4 linked regions of the Caenorhabditis elegans genome follow. The protein of the gene in region 4 interacts with the protein of the main gene of each other region in a pairwise test. Each region holds a gene or a part of one and is shown on either strand. Other genes may lie near its edges.

Region 1 (3,361 bases), on a different chromosome or scaffold from region 4:
CAATAAATGACTTCCACTTTGCGATGCGAATCTCAAGGGTAAAATAATGCGATCCTTTAGTTCAGCAACAAGTTCTTCGCAGCCACCTGTAAAATTTTTCTTTTTTTTTGCGAAACAATTTTCTGTTCTACCGATCTCATCCCAATCTGCTCCAACGTCTTCTCCGCCAACAAACTGCGTGGCGATTCTAATTTCGTGCTCTGAGAGTTCTATTTGACGATCGATACCAAGTTCATGAAACAGCTGTGCCACCTGTATATTAAAAAAACAAAATTAGTGTTGTAAATCTACAAACCTTCTTTTTGCTTTCTTCATTCACACTATAATTTGGATCCAAGTACTTGACTAGATAGCGCACTGATAGAAATGAAACTGCAGCCGCCGCCACTACTCGAATTGCAACACCGATCAACTCATTACGATCCGTCATCTCTAACATAACAAGTATACCTTGCTGTTTTATCATCTGCTAGATATTCTTGATTAACGCGAATAATTTATCTGACATGGTTGAATACAAAATTATATCAACAATTTTATTGAAGGGTTTTGAATTAACAGGTAACAAATTAGTTGGAAGCACGGATCGACACCTGGTACACTCGGATGATGTTATCGGTGTATCCGGCGAAGAGGGTTTGTCCGTCTTGAGACCAGGCCAAAGAGATACACTGTGGGCTGGATCCTCTTGAGCTTCCAGAGCTGGCGATTTCTGGCTTGAGCTCCTCGATCTCCTTCTTGTCCTCGAGATCCCAGATCTTGATGGAAGATCCGACAGCGGCGCAGAGCCAGTATCTGTTTGGAGAGAAGGACATGGCGTTGATGACGTCGTTTCCTGGAAGGGTGTACAAGTGCTTGCCCTCGTTGAGGTCCCAAAGCATAGCTTGTCCGTCTTTGCCTCCGGAAGCACAGAGGGAACCATCTGGAGAGACGGTAACGGTGTTGACGTATCCGGTGTGACCGATGTGGTTGGTCTTCAGACGGCAGTTTCCGAGGTTCCAGACCTTGACAACCTTGTCCCATCCTGCGGAGACGATCACTGGATCGCGGTTCGATGGAGAGAAACGAACGGTGGAAACCCAATCGGTGTGGCAATCATCCTAAACAATAGTTTCGATAAATCTTCCTATAAAAGAATTTGAAAAAACGTACAGTGATGGTGTACTTGCACTGGGCAAGAGTGTTCCACAGCTTGATGGACTTGTCGCGGGATCCAGAGACGATTTGTCTGTTGTCAGCAGAGAAGGCAACAGAGAGAACATCCTTGGTGTGGGAGATGAATTGACGGGTGCTCACTCCCCTATAAAATTGTTTGCACAATGTTTTTTTATTGAATTACTTACTGGTTGAGGTCCCAGAGGCGGAGGGTCTTGTCCCAGGATCCAGAAAGAGCGAATTGTCCGTCGGAGGAGATGACAACGTCAGAGACGAAGTGGTTATGTCCAGTGAGCGAACGAACTGGGCGACCGATTGGTCCCTCATCGACTGGAGCAACGCTGTCGACATCCCAAACAAGGATAGTCTTGTCTGAAAAATGTGAGTATAAATTTGAAAACGTTATATTAATTGACTTACCGCGGGAAGATGACAGGACAGTGGTCTTGTCGTTGCGGGTGTAGGTGGCGATTTGGGTAACCCATCCGGTGTGACCCTCGAGGGTTCCGGTAAGCTTCATTTGCTCTTGGACCATTTTGCTATCTGTGTAACCCCGTTCGATCTGCTAAAAATAAAAATGTTCCATATAAAAAAATGAAAATTTTGGAGAATAGAGCGAACGAAAACCATAATTTTGTTCGAATTATGTTAAAAACATAGCCACTTTAATTATTAAATGTTGAAAATGTTGAAAAAATCATTGCTTTAACAGAAAAATACAGAAAAAAGGAAAAATCGTCCTAAAAATTCGCGTCAAACTAGCCAGCCAGCAGCAGAGGAGAAGGGGTGAGTCGCTGCGAGACCCCACAGCGAAAGTCTATGCGCCTTTAACCTGGCACTTTGCCAACTAACGAATTTACGGAACAAATTAACTTTTTCTTGTAAATTTGCATCTATGAAGCAGTTTTTGACACTTTTTTAAATTTACTTATTTATTTATTCAATTATTTATGTTTAGCTTTTATTGTGACAGTTGTTTTCGAGTTTAGCGAGCCATTTATTTGAGCCTTAAAATTAATATTTCTGAAAACTGGTTTGATTTCTTCGAAAAATTATTATTTTCTCATTTAAAAGCAAAAATACTTTAGTTTTTACATTAAAATCAATGTAATGTGGGTTTAGTTCTAATTATTCTCCATCCATTCAAATTCATCGTGTCGAGCTCGAATTTTAAAGTTTAACATTTCAGCATCCGGGGTTGCATGTGTGCAAGACATATTAAGATTACTGCATGAGATATTGCCAGAAAAATCTGACGAGACTAGTTCTTTGCGCATATCTATTGCTTTTTCGTGGAATTCCTGTCAGCTTAGTCATGCTTTTATGGGTTTCAAATTGACGAAGCGACAAAAATGTTGACTTCTTGTAGAAATTGGCCAATTGTCCGTGAAAACTTTGGTATGTGCTTGAAAATCTTCGAGTTGTTTCCTTATAATGTTTAATACCTTCTCATCTTAAATTTTACGTTGATATGCCAACATCACTATTTTAAAGTTTTTTTTTCATTCAAAAAAGTCATTTTTATTTTGAAGAATTTTTGAATACAATATATTTTCAATAATTCCCCATTTTTTAGCTGACTTTCAATACAACAACAGAACCTTGCAATAGCAATAACATCACAACAATTCCCATAATGAAAAATATTTTTTTGCTCCTAGACATTTTTTCGATATCTGTTTTTTTCCAATGGGAATGTCAACAATCAACTCTTTCCTGAGCCAATCTTCACTCGATTCTCTGTCTTCTCTGCAATCAGTGCAATCTTTAACCCAATCAACCTGCGTCTCAACTTTCCGTTCCTCTCTTATTTCTTCGCAGCACCTTCCGTTGTATTATTGATCGGTTCGCAGTGGTTTGGCGGTGCTTTTCCGCACCGTCCCTCGCCTTTTCCTCCTCCAATTTCTTGCCTCTACACAGACTGTCCGATTTATTTCTTGTCCTCTTCGCCTCTGTGTTGTTCCTAGTCACATTCCTCCAAATGCCCGTCCCTATGTGTGTGTGCGGCCGCCGCATTCACTATCCGCCCGTTTAATCGCCCCCCCCCCCCTCAGACTTTGATTCCCTTCTTCACAACTTTTGCATCCTTTTCTTTCCTGTGTCTAGTGCCCCTGATTGTTTATAATCAACCTCTGATAGTAATAGAGATTAGACGTTGTTATCGGCACACGACGACATCATTATCACTTTGTAATTCAATTGGTGG
Region 2 (4,274 bases), on a different chromosome or scaffold from region 4:
TGGAAAACGAGAGTAACGGCAGGCAGGCATATGAGCAATCCGGGAACACTCAATCCGCCGCCACACTCACTTTGTGCCAAACGGTGTATTTCATATTTTATCCGGCTTCATTCGACGCCCCGACAAAACAATTTATTAATTCCTTTCGGATTATCATAATCCGTCGCCCGTTGGTTGCCCATGGTGCATATCAAATTTCTCATCCGCATAGAGGAATCAATCCAATCTTCCCTCTCATATTCTTCCCCATATGTTTTGGAGACTTGATCCACAATGTTTTCCCCCGGTCGCTTCTTGATCGATTACAGCTAAATAACTGAAAGTTGGCAAAAATTCTAAATATATAGAATTGAAAAAAGTTTCTAGAAAGAAAAAAGATATTGCCGGAGAGAACAACAGCACGAAAACTTTGCAAAACATTTGACACAATCGGAACTGAGCGCAGAATTACAAATGATTTAGTGTGTTGTTAGGATTTCAGTTAAAGTTCTATCGGCCACGAACTTCTTCTAGAAACATTCTATAATGCAAATATTGATTAACTCATTCATTTTTATACATATAGAAATTTAAAAGAAATAAAGGTTTTGTTCAAATGGAATGATGGTTCAGTAGTTGTCATCGTAGACGTGGCGGCGGTGGTGTCTGAAACATAAAAAAGTTGGTTTAGTAGTTAAGTAGATAAAAAGTAGGTTTCCGTTTAGGAAATTGGGCATTGGCATGGGAGTCATGAAACGAAATCACATCATATTTTTTTTAGATGTCACGTGCAATATAGCTGAAAAGTTCACCTGTGAAGTCTTGAGGTAAGACTATTGAGCTTTGGAATTCCTCCAACAACTCCAGATTCAATTCCACACTCATCAACTCCTCTCAGGATACGGAAGAATCCATCCTCTCCCCAGTCGGTGTTCCAAGAGTTGGCAACTGTCCAGTATGGGATTCCATCGTCAATACCCCATCCGATAAGCTTGACGGCGTGTCCTCCTCCGAGCTTTCCTCCGGTGTGCTGAATTTTTTTTTCAGGTTTTTATGTCAAATAACAGTACAACTCACAACATAGACTCCACCGTCATAGTTCAAGAAATCCTCGTAAACCTCGAAAGCGATCTCAAGGGGTCCGTGAGTCATCAATTCTTTCTGGATGGCTTCAACGTCATCCTTGACTCCGTACGCGCTGGCGCCAAAGAATTTGTCCTCGGAGTAAGTCTTGTCAGTGTAATCAGAAACGCACTTCTTTTCACATTTTGGAGTTGGGTACAAATCGTGTGGACATGGATCGAAGTGGGTTTTCTTCGAGTGATGCTCACATGGTGGGAATGGGTATGGCTGAAAAAGGTTAGGTTCTAGTTTGAAATCTTTTTATTCTTGTACTATTTGTACCTTGCACCCATTGTTAGCGGTGTAGTTTGATCCAGTAACGATTCCATCCTTCACCCAGTAGCGCCAGGCAGCCAATGGATCTCCTCCGTTACATCCGAATCCACAGCTTTTGCAGCAACTGAGAAGATCATCAGCGGAAAGTGTAACTTGAAGTTCTCCATGGGAAGCAATGCAAATACGATCAGACATTGCCTCAACGGCTCCGAAAGCCCAGCAGGATCCACAGCTTGACTGGTCTCTGATGACCTTGATGGAATCGCATTTTGGCCAATTGTCACGAGAATCAAAGCTTTCTGGAATGTCCAAATCGAGATCCTTGGTCTTGGACAAGTGTTGTTTGCCCTGAAAAGTGCTGTTTGGGTGGAATGGTTGAGCACGTGAGTGAAGTGATAGGCACTGTTTGAATATAAGATCACTATCTATAACTTGATCACCTGATGTTTCAGTCTGATTCTCTTCTATTTTGTGATAAGCCGTCTATCAATCAAAACAATTGACGTTTTCAAATAACCGAATTCAAATTTGATGTGCATACCTTAACAGAAAGTCTGACATGGTTGACACCCATCAATCCCCATTTCGCCTTGTCGTTCTCTCCGTAGACCGATGAAAAACGTCTTTGTTTCTTAGCCTGAAAAATCCATTAGATGAATATTTTGTGAGTATAAGTTTACCGTCCAAAGATTTTGGTTTTCATTGACATAGTCGATCAAGTCATCTCCGTCAAGCTCAGCTGCTTCTGAGTCAATTTCACGATTGCGATATTTGTCTTAATAAATTGAAATTTTCAGAAAGCTTCATCAATATCCAACCTACCCAAAACGGACTCAAGGTTATCATTGCATGCGCAATAAGCTGCTACCACTATGCAGGAAAGGAAGAGCAACGTCTTCTAGAATTCAAATTTTCTCTAAAAATTACTTCAAAGTTCAAAAGCCTACCATGTTGGCGTCGACGGTCAGCGTGTTGATCGCAAGTTGTCGTCGCTTGACTGCTCGCTTTTATCAGCATGCTTTTATAGAACATGTTTTCGTTATCAAATTTGGCCCTGTGCATTTCGATAAGAGTGTCGGCTGCGTCCATCACAGTGTCAGGGTACATCCTAGGACCGGTCACTATCCTGTGATGGTGTGACGTGACTCGGCGGTAGTAGTTTGAACTGTGTGGCAAAGAAGATTGACCTAAAGACAAGGAAAATATTGAAACTTAACAGATTTAGCACATTAATTTCGTTTGAAAGGGTTATATGATGGAAAAACCTAATAAAAAGTCAGATGTCAGTTTAAAATCAGTGAATGACACCGATAAAAATGGCACCCAACATTATAGTTTCAGTTGAAAAAATAACATTGAACAGTAAAAATGATGTATCAAACGAGTATAGTTATTGGGAGAAATATTTCATAATTTAACTAAAAATCAGCCTTCAAAATTATCGTTTTTAACAAATATTAAATATTATAACAAAGATAACGTTTTTCAAAGATACTTTCGACAGTAGGCTACTGTTGGTTACTCTATGACATGGGTGCGCGGCTGTCACATATCGTCACCAGTTCTGGGAGAGCCTGGCACGCGACGTCATAATTTGCGGTTGGGAGTCCGACTCGGGACCTGTCTTGCTAAGTCATCACACGTGGCGGTGCCTGTTATATGACTTTATCAGTATGATTGGTGTTCGAGATGATTCCCATCGTTGTGAGACCCGTCGTTGCTAGACTCATCGTGGTGAGACACATAAGTTTTGGCGGGAAATTCAAATTTTTATTTTTTGATAACAATTTGGAGGGAATTCAAAATTTAATTTTTAAAAAACATTTTAGAGGGAATTCAAAATTTAATTTTTTGAACACATTTTAGAGGGAATTCAAAATTTAATTTTTTGAGAGCATATCAGCGGGGTGTACTCCTATTTTGCCAATTTTGACTTGTTATACCAAGTCTGTAAGAGTTTTCCTAATTTTTAGAACGATTTTTAATGCAAATTTTGAATTCCTAAAATTAGGGAACAAATGAAGGGGTGCAAAACTATTAAAGGTGCAAAACTAATAGAGGGTTCAAAACTAATTTTCGATTAGTGATTTTAGATGCAAGACTAATGGAGGTGCAAAACTAATAGAGATGCCTAACTAATAGAGGAAATACGGTAAGCTACCTTTTAGTGCGTATTTTATTATTTAATGAAAACTACCATTAATAGGCAAAAATAGATGGATTTTCCAAATTTTGAAAATTCATAAATCTCTTGAAAGTAATTTTTTTTGAAATGTCTTTCAGAAACTTTGTAGTAAATTTTAAGCTCTTTCAGAATATATTAACAAAATTCCAGTAGGTACAAGAAGCTTCACGTAGTTACAGAAATAGTACATTTTCAGCCCTACCTTTTAGTGCGTATTTTATTATTTAATGAAAACTACCATTTATAGGCAAAAATAGATGGATTTTCCAAACTTTGAAAATTCATAAATCTCTTGAAAGTAATTTTTTTTAAATGTCTTTCAGAAACTTTGTAGTCTTGTTTGTCGCATGTTAATGGTACTCTGTTCATAATGCCAAAAAATGCTCGAAAATGTTATTTTTGAATTTTGAACGGGGCTTTCTCAAGAAACTCGTAAATTAGAAAAAATCAAACATTAAAAAACTAAAAAAACATATTAAGAGCTACTTTTCTTCAGTTGACCACTTTCCTGTATCTCTTCTGGTTTTTGAGCTACGTTGTGTTCATGTACTTAGATGTAACAAAAATGTATGATAATATCAAATAGCTCCCTAACATCTTGGTAAATCAGGAAACATTACTACCTAAGCCTAAAAACAACTCGAAAAATTCAAACACAAAAAACTTTTTCAGCCATCGTGAGGATTTTAATATGGGAAATATTTCTATGTCG
Region 3 (4,397 bases), 3.4 Mb from region 4:
ATTGACATTTAAAACTTGCGTGAACTGTCAAATAAAATGTCACTTTATGTTTCCAACACAACAAGCAATATTATCGATACCACTTCGTTCTTTTTGTTCTTTTGAACAACTCAATATAACAATATGATGTTATCCAAAGTTCTTCGAAATTCTCCACTTCTTTTCCGTGTCGCACAACCGAAGGATCATGAACGAATTATTAAGTTTCTGGATAAACATTTTGCAAAGGAGGAGCCATGTTCAAGAGTTTGTTCACAATTTTCTAGTTAATTATTCCGATCACTTGTTCAGGCGCTAAAAATCTCCCCAGAAATATCTCGTGGCGTTTTCACAGCTACCGTAACCCGCTGTCTCACTACACCTTTCTCAACAGTTGTCCTCCAAGAAAATGGTGATTTGGCTGCTTGTCTTTTGGCTTCTGTTTGGAATCGTACTGATCCACTTGAGAATGCTGATTTTGATGATACAGGTCTTCCGGAGAATTTCAAACTTTTTAGTGAGCCGTCGATCCAGATAATAAGTTTAATTTGTTGCTTTCAGTCCAATTTTTGAACAAGGCTCATTTGAACTTTTGGAAAATTGCTCCACCAAACGTCAATTCCATTATTCACAGGTATCCTCGGGACTTTTTTTAAAAATAAAATTGCTGTTTCCAGAGAAATTGGAAGCGTAGCTCCTCAGTTCACTCGACTTGGAATTGCTACCAAAATGGTTACTACTAACATGACAAAACGTAACTTGAAAGTATGTATGTTTCTTTAATGTTTGATAAATGGATTGATTAATTTAGAAATATAACATTGGTGGAGTTCTCTCGGAGACCACATCACTTGCCAATCAAATTGTTCTCGAAAAAGCTGGTTTTAAGGTAGGGAAAGTCACACTTTTCCAGAAATTAAAAGTAATTTATAGTGCCTCAAAGAGTTGCCATATTCGACAATTGTTGATTCAAAAGGAAATCAAGTTTTGAAGTTGGATGATGGTACAACTTCTCTTTGCCTGAACTTCAAACCAATTGAGGAGTACGAGAACTTGCCAGAATAAGAATTCAAATGAAAATAGACTTAATAAATGTTTAGGCACGTTTATTTTTTGGTGAAATACATAATACGATATTAAATGAGTGTCAATAGAATAGTAAGCTACATAACCGAATTTCCATCATATACTGAAATAAACACCTGCCAAAAATTAAATTGATTCTTATTTATCCTTCATAATGTTACTAGAAATCTTTTGTTCGAGCTCTGTGATATGATGTTTCCAAAAAACGAATTCCAGTATTCTTACAGTACTGCTCTTGGGGTAAACTCGTATAGTATTTAAGTGAGATATTTTTTAACTCCAAATACGAATATTTATTATTCACCATATATAAACATAACCATGTGTTACTAAACTTATAGTTGTTCTTTAAAAGTTCTTATTTACATTTCTGTATCCCAAAATAGGTCAAGATCTGGATCATCTCATAACTTGTTAGTACTACCACTTCACTCTCGATATGTACAATCTGTTCCCTTTCCTTTTCCGTAAATCCTGTCATCATATTTCCCGATTTTTTTTTCGAAAGTTTTCCTCATATTGCACACGCAACAGTGTCATCACATTCAGCACACCGTCAACAATAGAGGGATAGAGTTGTGATGAACAATATGAACAATATTCAGAGAGGGATTTTGGTTTGATCAGCCGCTTTCAATTCTCTCCGCTTCTACTAAATCCATACTATTCTCATGTTGGGAGTGCGAATTGGGGAAGTAGAGGGAGAAAAAAAGAGAAAGACACAAAAACGTTGTTCGAGTTTTGTGAAAGGCTAGGAGGATTAAGCCTGTTGGACTGGCTGTTTTTCAAATTCATGGTATACATTAGAATGAGTACATACTCATTCTAATTTGTGGGAATGTTTCGTTCTAAAACTAATCCGTTATCTTTTCTCTTGATTATACTCATGTTACAAATGTTTGTCAAAAGACCATGTCTTGCCCATTTAAATTCCTATTAGCATGTTAAAAAAAAGATCTTAGAGTTAAAATCTGCATAATCCCATCAATATAATACAGAATAACTGGCATCATAGGCATAGTACCTTTTGTAGATCTAAAGATGTCCCACGCTTTTTATGGATTTTCATTCCGACTATTTGGTTTTTTTTCATTTCCAATGCTCTAATGTGTTCTGCTAAAATTTTTCTGCGAGTATAAATTCCATATGTTTTGTTTTCTGAAAATTCAAATTAAATTATCAAAAAATATAGCAAAACAGCTTTGACAATACTTTCAATTCTCATAAAAACCTTTTAAATTGAGGAATAAAAGAACACACTCGGAAATAATATTTAAATTTCATATATTAGTAATTAATCACTTCAAATTTAATTTTCTAGTTCGGTTTAGATTTTATGTAAAACATATTTTCGGCAGTTTTTTATACGTCTATTATGCAATTATTTTTCATGTTGCACTTTTCAATAGAATTGAAATTCCCGTAGTTTTCCCTGTGAAAAACATTTAAAACGATGGGCACAAAAGCAGTGAAAATGGACGCTATAAACACATCCCATACAGCCATTTTCATTGTTATCACCGATTCGCTTCTCTTTTTCGTCTCTTTTCTTCGTCATATTCTTCCATCGCGTTCCCACCAATTTTCTTCGTTCTCAATCGACATCACATCGTGTCTCAACTCTTTCATTTTTTCCCAACAATAACTTGATGGTTCGTCCTACTTTCGTAAACATTAAGCTGCCACTTCGACCTTCATCGATGAGTCAAGAATCATCGACCACCAACGATTCGCCGGGGCCACCTGCCCAACCACAATCGGTTAGGTCGACATCAAAAGCCCCACTGCCAAAATATACATCAATTGATCTGGAAAATGAAATTCCAGAAATGTATAAGTAAGTTAGCAATAATTGTATTTCAAGATTTAAACAAAAACAAATCGTATTAAAGTAAGTCCAGTCAGTTGAGCAAACTCTGAAATCTTTGATCGAATTCAAATATTTTAATAATGAATAACTTTTTCAGTACTTCCCTTAATCCCGGTATTCACGATCCGGATATGACAATGTTTTTCAATAGAAATGCTCCACCATTTCACACAAACTATGCAAAACGACACAGCCCACCACCAAGTTATTCATCGAGATCCAGTGAGTTATTTTGATCGGAAATATTTTAAACACGTATTTATCAGGACACAAAGTGTGTACTACATAAATGAACATGAGTAAAAATAGTAGTAGGCAAACTTTTTCAAATAACTTTTTTGTACCTGAAAGATTGCGAATGTAACGAAGTCAATAAAACATCACTGAATAAACTAATAAAATGTGCAAAATTGGAAGGAATTCGAAGAAAATTGATTTATAGTCGCTGCCACAGAAACAAGCTGTTAAAGTTTATAATTTAAGTTGAATTAGCTTGTTTGTTGTAATATTGAATCCCCATGAGTTAAAGAAATTTTCAAGAAGTCTCTTTGAAAAGTGAATTCATTTGGAATCTAATGATGTAACCTACATAAAATACTTGAATTCAATTCAATTAACACAAAATTAATTTAGATAACTTTGTTAAACTAACTTTGTGAAATACTCCAAAAAAAAATTCGAAAATTTAATATTTCAGAACAGAGCAGCGTCTCCTCTTCAGCAACTCCCACTAAATCAGCAGTGTCTCGGCGAAACTATTTGGCCGGATGCTTCCTTTGTGTATTTTTCGCTGCGCCTATCATTTTCCTCGTAATTTTTTATATGATTCCACGAATTGTTGTCATTGATAGAACCGCGAGGTTCTGAAGAGTCTCATTTTTTCAATGTATAAATTGGGATAGAGATCGGGCAGAATTTCACAAAAATATTTAATAAATGGTACCTTACACTCATAATTTGATTTGACTGTGGAAAGACATGACAACAGAGCAAGCGAAAAAATGTAGGTCACACTAAACCAGCATACAGATCGCATCTCCAAATTTTTAAATTTCTAGAATAGAGCATCATCTCCTCAACAGCAACGCCGACTAAATCAGCCTTTCCATGTCGTGCAGAATTCAAGAATTCAACATGAATAGTTTAATTAGTAATGGTATTTTACAATTAAATTTATTCCAATAAACTTTAAAATTAAAATCGAACAGCGTCCTGTACTTGACTTCGCTTATTAACTGTTACAAAGCGGACAGAATTGGTTGCTGTAACGGCAACCTTCGCATATTTTGGAAAATACATTAGCATGAAACAACGGCGAGCCTGAAAATGATTTGTTGAAGTATGCAATTTCAATTGATACTTCTTGAGTACCTTTGTGCTGAAAGCAAGAAACATCCATGGATGAATCAATGTCAACCCATCACTGATATAAGGAAGAAGAGTCACTGCAATCTGAGACCAG
Region 4 (7,047 bases):
AAGAATCTAAACTGTTCAAGTTAAAAATTGATTTTCGATTATTTTTGAGATTACTCATTAATTAGTAATCATAAATAATATTATTTACCGTATTTCCTCTATTAGTAAGGCATGCAAAACTAATTTTCGGACACCTAATTTGATGCAAAACTAATAGAAGGTGCTAAACTAATTTTCGAACAGGTTTTTTCTCATGTTTTCCATTAAGTTATGACATAATATCATCAATTTCAATAACAACTTATGAACCAAAATGGACGAATTTTACGACTGATACGCAAAAATTGTCCGAATTGTACTCATATTTTGCCAATTTTGACTTGTTATACCAAGTCTGTAAGAGTTTTCCTAATTTTTAGAACGATTTTATAATGCAAATTTTAAATTCCTAAAAATAGGGAACAAATGGAGGGGTGCAAAACTATTAGAGGTGCAAAACTAATAGAGCGTGCAAAACTAATTTTCGATTAGTGATTTTAGATGCAAAACTAATGGAGGTGCAAAACTAATAGAGGTGCCTAACTATTTAATAGAGGAAATACGGTAAATTTCAGTTTTAGCCAGTTGAGAGAGGTTGAGCCGCAGGCTCGATCGACACCGTCCGGTTAAAAAGTTAATAGAATCTTTTTCCATTGAATCAAAGTTATTGTTAATTTGTTTAGTTTTCAACAAACTCATTGAGTTTCCTGTCTTCTTGGAGGTTTTGGTACGCGCGCACGTGCGCTCTACTGACCAATGGCCGTGGCCTAGCTTTCTTGGTGGCTGTATATTTCAGCGCGAAATTCGTCAGTGCGACGCGAGCTACATTTATTGATTTTTCAACATTTTATTCGATAAATGTTTTCTGAGATTTGTTTTTCATTTATATTTAAATACACACTGAAAAAATAAAACCACGTGGCGTGGATGCGCGAATTTCATGAAATTAAACTTCATTTTCGAAATCTATTAAAATACGCCACGAAGTTTTATTATTTTCAATGTAAGTCTCGTTTTATCTTTTCCTTTTATCAATCGATTTCAACGCTTTCAACTTATTTTTTTGGAATTGTGGTTTTTAGTTCAAATCTTCTTAACTGTATTTCGAATTTTTAATCTCTACCTGTTCGAAATAGATTCCTCAAGATTAAGATACCTAGTTGTTTTTCATTGATTTCAGAAAATGGCACCCGGGACCAAAAAAAAGTCGGATATGGCAAAATTCACATTCTACAAAGATCGCTTGATGACATTCAAAAATTTCGAATATGATAGAGACCCGGATGCAAAATGCACGTCTCAAGCGGTTTGTCCATTTTCGTGTTTTAAATAAAATTATTCTTGTTTTAGGTTGCTCAAGCCGGATTTTACTGCACCGGTCCTCAGTCTGGCAAATGTGCATTTTGCAACAAGGAACTTGATTTTGACCCAGAAGACGATCCGTGGTACGAGCACACGAAACGTGATGAACCGTGCGAGTTTGTACGGATTGGAAAGCTCGATGACTCGGAATTAACTATTAACGATACCGTTCGTCTCTCACAAACCGCCATGATTATGACTAAACTCTTTGAGCATGAGATGATGATAAATAATTTGTCTAATCATTCTTCTTCTGATGCTCTCTTCGATCAGCTGAAAAAAGTACCGAACACAGCATCGACAACAAAATCTAACAGCCGCCGCGGCAAATAATTTTTCTACATCACTTACTGCAACTTATCCAATTATTGATTTGATCTCATATACTCGATTTAATCACTGTTCAATAAACACTTAATTCATTATTTTATTATTCATTCAATGTTTTTGTTTTGAAATTATAACTTGTGTTTCATCGGCACTACAATATCTTCCAGTTTTGTATTTGATTCTTTTTTTGTCTAAAAAAACAATTTCAGGACAGTATTTCATCAGGATGTCGATGAAACTACGAGAGTGAGTGTATTTCACTGATTATCATGTAAAACCAATGTTTTTTAGTATCCTTCCTGCTCCTGTGGCGGCAGACGAAGCAGCTTCACAGATTCGACGAGATCCTTGGTTTGGTGGGCGCGATAACGAACCATCCGCCGCACTCGTATCGAAGGAACCACCGCCGTACGGAAAACGGACCAGTTTTCGACCAAGAGGGCCTGAAGTGAGATTGAAAATATTAATATTCTTCTTAATTTTTCTTTTCCAGGATTTTGGCGATGGCGGAGCGTTCCCTGAAATTCACGTTGCTCAGTTTCCTCTCGGATTAGGTCTTGGAGATATGAGAGGAAAGCCAGAAAATACGCTCGCCTTGCAATATGGAACTGATGGAAAGTTACAACACGATGCTATTGCTCGTATCGGACATGTTAAGGATAAAGTTGTCTACTCCAAGCTTAATGATATGAAAGCCAAGACGTGGAACGAGGATGATGATGATATTCAGAAACCAGACGATGACGCTGTTATCGATGCTACGGAGAAGACAAGAATGGCTTTGGAAAAAATCGTAAATTCAAAAGTAGCCTCAGCACTTCCTGTTCGTCATGCCGACAAGTTAGCACCTGCTCAATATATCAGATACACTCCAAGTCAGCAGAATGGAGCTGCTGGATCACAACAGCGCATCATCAGAATGGTTGAAGAACAAAAAGATCCGATGGAACCACCAAAGTTCAAAATCAATCAGAAGATTCCTAGAGCACCACCATCTCCACCGGCACCAGTCATGCATTCTCCTCCAAGAAAAATGACAGCTAAAGATCAAAACGATTGGAAGATTCCACCATGTATTTCAAATTGGAAAAATCCAAAAGGATTCACAGTTGGGTTGGACAAACGATTGGCTGCTGATGGACGTGGTCTCCAACAGACTCATATTAATGAAAACTTTGCGAAGCTTGCTGATGCTTTGTACATTGCTGATAGAAAAGCTCGTGAAGAGGTTGAGACACGTGCTCAGCTTGAAAGACGCGTTGCTCAAAATAAGAAGTCTGAGCAAGAGGCTAAAATGGCAGAAGCCGCAGCAAAAGCCCGCCAGGAAAGATCAGCGATGCGGAGAAAGGACGATGAAGATGATGAACAAGTCAAAGTTCGCGAAGAAATTCGACGTGATCGTCTCGACGATATCAGGAAAGAAAGAAATATTGCTCGTTCACGACCAGATAAAGCTGACAAGCTTCGCAAAGAGCGTGAAAGAGATATTTCGGAGAAAATTGTGCTTGGTTTGCCGGACACGAATCAGAAACGAACTGGCGAACCACAGTTCGATCAAAGATTGTTTGATAAAACCCAGGTTTCAGTTCCTTCTTCGATAAAATTTAACTAATATATTTATTTTTCAGGGACTCGACAGTGGAGCAATGGACGATGATACTTACAATCCTTATGATGCTGCGTGGCGTGGCGGTGACAGTGTTCAACAGCACGTTTATCGACCGAGTTAGTTTTTCTTGCTTATTTTCAAATATAAATTAAAATTAGTAACGGGTCTAGGTATTTTGAATGTATATATATATATATACCCACAATGCTCTAAAATGAACGAATTTCATAATGAAACGTTCCAGAAGTTTTTCAAAAAAAAAGTTTTATGGCGTTTTAAAATTTCAAAAAAAAACATTATTTTAGCTGAAATCTTATTTTGGCAGTTTATCTTATGCTATTCTAAGGTACATTTAAAATCGAAAGGTTACCGAAATTGATTACCTATGTTTGCTTAAAAAGTACCTCAATTGACGATATTACGTGATATTAAAATTTAAAAAAAGATTATAATTCAAAAAAAATCATTTTTGAACCTCTGCGACACGAAAAATTCGCCAAAATTGATTCATTTTTTCTAAATTTCGAACCGCCATAAAAATCTAAACGTTCAAAAATAACTAGAACCGTTAGTTCTTTAATATTTCAAAATTGAAATGATTTCCTAATGTATGTCTGAACTGAGGAATTTGTGACATTCTAAAATTTATTGTTTTTCTAATTCATTGGTGTTGGAATTCACAAAACTCTTTGATGATACTGATGTATTTGACTTTCATGTCCGTTCTGGTTCATTTGTCGTTAAAAATAGAATCACAACTTAGGTGCCTAGTATTTGATAAGACGTTTGTAGTACTGCAGTCATTACGATTAAAATGACGTTATGCAAATACGAATTTCGAAAATAATTGTATTTTTGTCAAAACAGGAAGAAATGACGATTTATAAAACTTTTGCAGGCAAAAATCTCGACAACGATGTTTATGGTGGCGATTTGGACAAGATCATCGAACAGAAGAATCGGTTTGTAGCTGATAAAGGATTTTCAGGAGCAGAGGGCTCGAGTCGTGGATCTGGACCTGTTCAGGTTAGTCAGTTGATCTGTTGTCAGAAATTTTAACTACGTTACTAAAATAGCTGGGAATTTTGAGAATTTGGGCGCTGGCTCGTTGTTGATGAGCGTCAAAAATTGACTGATAAGTAACGACGAATTGAACCAATTCGTTGATTTGTGCGGTCATTATCATAAATGGATCATTAATTTACGTCATTCCGAAAAGACACGCACAGCAGTGTGTTTTGGAAGTAGAAAAGATTCTTTACATTCTTGGTTTATGAGCTTCAATTGTCGTGCGTAATATGTTTGACATTATTGATAAAATAAGATTAAAATAATTAAAATATGTCAAAGTTCAGTTTTCATCCATTCTCTTTATGGTCGAAATGAACTATTGATGTATTTTAACTCACGATTAATTTGATTGTAAAAGTTAACCAATTTTAGATATTCTAATTAGAGTTATAATAAATAATTATGGATTCATCAATATTGTAGTTTTATACAATGCTCAGAGCTTATTGAACAAAAACTAATTATATCTTTTCTATCATAGCCGATTAGCTTTTCTTTTTACTTAAGTTCGGGATGCAGATTCTCTTCAGTTTAACACATAAAATGTATTAAATTACTTTACTGTTTCTAGTCACATTTCGAGCTGAACGATCAGCATTTTATCGAGTTGTGTCTACGGAGGCTGGTGTTTGCGAGCATCTTTCATAACCCAATCACTATCAGTACTTACGAAATATCACGTCTTATCACCAACAAGCCAGAAGCATTAGAACCAACATGTGATTTACTCTAAAAGTTGAAATGACTGAAATACTAGACAGAACTAGAGCGGTGTTGACTATATTTCGGTCTATTTTTAGGAAATGATAACTTTTTGCTCCGAATATACGTGTAAATGAAACAGCTCAAATCAAAATTTCACTCTCAAAGTGGCATTGTAGTTAAAAATACGTATTGCATTTTTTAACAAAAAAATCTTAGTTTTAGTTTTCGCTTATTATGAAAGTGGACGAAATAAACAGTTGTCCTCCCAGTTTTTATAGTATTTATTCGTATTTGGAAATTCTAGGGATCGAACCTGTAGAAATAATCGAAATTTATCAAAAAATTGAAATTTTTGAAAAATTTGGCATTTACTATATTGAAAACACCAATTTTTCAAATGTTTAAACCATGTTCATAGTTTAGATTTGAACAGGAAACGTATTTTTTTTCCGGAATTGTTTGCAGCGAACTCGGGGAGCTGGGTAAACTTTTTCGGCGAAATGGTGTTAATTGTAGACTAACATCTAAACTGAGTGATAAGCAGTAAGCGGATAAGCCAACGATCATCCGTGTCGATTTATAAATTGGTTCAAGCAGCGTTCAAAGGGCAAAACATTAGATGATGATGATGACAGAAAATACGATTTTCATGCCATTTTAAGAATGACAATGATAATTCTAGTATATTTCATGACAATATTTCCGAATCGTGATTGTGCATGGCATAGTTTCGAAATTTCTTACAAAGTTTATTATAAACTTATCAAGAAAATGATGACGATGCGGAATCGTCTAGAATTACAGGACAGACACGATGGCGGCCGATTTGGCATGTTTGCGTGTGACGATCGAATTGTTGCAGAACGCGTAGAAAATGCTATAATCTGGTCAAAGTGCATTTGATTCCAACGAAATAGTTTATACGCATTGAGTTTAACTGTGAATCGAACGTTATTGAAATTTAGAAAATTCCATCTGCGAAATTGAGTGTGTGGACCCGTAGTATTCAGAAATATATGTATTTACTGAATTATTTTTTTGAAACCTAATTTCTAAAGATTTCATAAGGAAATTGCATAAAAGATGCTCTTAAAATGACTGTGACTACTTCTAAAATTTACTTATCAATGAGTCATAAAACATTAAATGTCACTGTGCATTTATGAATCACTACAAAATGTTAACCTTTTTATTTCAGTTCGAGAAGGATCAAGATGTTTTCGGATTGTCATCACTTTTCGAGCACACCAAAGAAAAGAAACGAGGTGGGGATGGTGGAGACTCCCGTGGAGAATCAAAGAGGTCTCGACGCGACTAATTTTAATATATTTTTTATTTGTTTTCTGTTATTTTTTCTCAACTTCTTTTTTGGAAAGAATCTCTGTAACTCTTCTGTAGTTGGATGTTTGCACAAAGATGAATCAAAACCGTGTCAATTTTTATTAATAACATTTCGAAAGAAGACCAAATTATGTCAGCAAAGAATGAGCGAATTTGAAAAATTATGGCAAAGAGGATTCGGGAGAGGGGAATATTGAAGATGTTCTTAGGAATGGTTGATTTGATTATTGAGTTGCAAAATACTGATCAAGAAATCTTTTTGAGCATTTTCTTGTTGAAGACCACTAACTGCTTGCCGGAGAGCTTTTACTTCCAACTCGAGTTGCTCCTTCTCATCATGAAGACTTTTCACATTCTCCACCTTTTGGCGCATTTGAGCACGGTACTGGCGAGCATAAAGACGGCGATGACGCTTCTTTTGACTGTGAGCATCTTGTCCATCTGCAATTTCTTGTTGTGGTCGACCACGACGGATTTTACCAGGAGCAGCAGAACTTTCAGTTGAAGAGCATCTCTGAAAATACAAATAATATTACAAGATTTTGAGAAAATATGATATGCTTACCGAGCTGGATGTGGTAGATGTTCCCAAAGAAGCAGAACTTTCAAATGGCAAAACAGGCAGATTGATGCTGAATTGAGCAAGCATT

The links.
Region 1: the proteins of skp-1 (region 4) and rack-1 interact in a two-hybrid assay, tested with the Caenorhabditis elegans proteins (one study listed by BioGRID).
Region 2: the proteins of skp-1 (region 4) and cpr-6 interact in a two-hybrid assay, tested with the Caenorhabditis elegans proteins (one study listed by BioGRID).
Region 3: the proteins of skp-1 (region 4) and smex-1 interact in a two-hybrid assay, tested with the Caenorhabditis elegans proteins (one study listed by BioGRID).

The regions. Positions count from the first base shown.
Region 1 is NC_003282.8:10,175,039-10,178,399, reverse strand, and holds rack-1 (Small ribosomal subunit protein RACK1), read right to left. Parts: upstream 1,721-3,361; 5' UTR 1,691-1,720; coding exon 1,576-1,690; intron 1,528-1,575; coding exon 1,344-1,527; intron 1,301-1,343; coding exon 1,153-1,300; intron 1,101-1,152; coding exon 570-1,100; 3' UTR 525-569; downstream 1-524. Other genes in the region: mspn-1 (Mitochondrial sorting homolog), read right to left, coding at 1-86, 132-252, 296-430.
Region 2 is NC_003284.9:6,605,305-6,609,578, reverse strand, and holds cpr-6 (Cathepsin B-like cysteine proteinase 6), read right to left. Parts: upstream 2,373-4,274; 5' UTR 2,328-2,372; coding exon 2,325-2,327; intron 2,276-2,324; coding exon 2,200-2,275; intron 2,153-2,199; coding exon 2,058-2,152; intron 2,015-2,057; coding exon 1,919-2,014; intron 1,726-1,918; coding exon 1,384-1,725; intron 1,330-1,383; coding exon 1,057-1,329; intron 1,010-1,056; coding exon 792-1,009; intron 646-791; coding exon 609-645; 3' UTR 534-608; downstream 1-533.
Region 3 is NC_003283.11:8,293,249-8,297,645, reverse strand, and holds smex-1 (LITAF domain-containing protein), read left to right. Parts: upstream 1-1,679; 5' UTR 1,680-2,765; coding exon 2,766-2,902; intron 2,903-3,032; coding exon 3,033-3,157; intron 3,158-3,632; coding exon 3,633-3,802; 3' UTR 3,803-3,892; downstream 3,893-4,397. Other genes in the region: W02D7.4 (aralkylamine N-acetyltransferase), read left to right, coding at 124-246, 292-496, 541-613, 657-744, 791-868, 913-1,044; srg-33 (Serpentine receptor class gamma-33), read right to left, coding at 4,130-4,255, 4,307-4,397.
Region 4 is NC_003283.11:11,643,601-11,650,647, forward strand, and holds skp-1 (mammalian SKIP (Ski interacting protein) homolog), read left to right. Parts: upstream 1-1,880; 5' UTR 1,881-1,897; coding exon 1,898-1,917; intron 1,918-1,962; coding exon 1,963-2,119; intron 2,120-2,164; coding exon 2,165-3,250; intron 3,251-3,299; coding exon 3,300-3,396; intron 3,397-4,178; coding exon 4,179-4,306; intron 4,307-6,254; coding exon 6,255-6,374; 3' UTR 6,375-6,490; downstream 6,491-7,047. Other genes in the region: Chromosomal passenger complex protein bir-1, read left to right, coding at 1,163-1,285, 1,330-1,674; Transcription factor zip-10, read right to left, coding at 6,603-6,911, 6,963-7,047.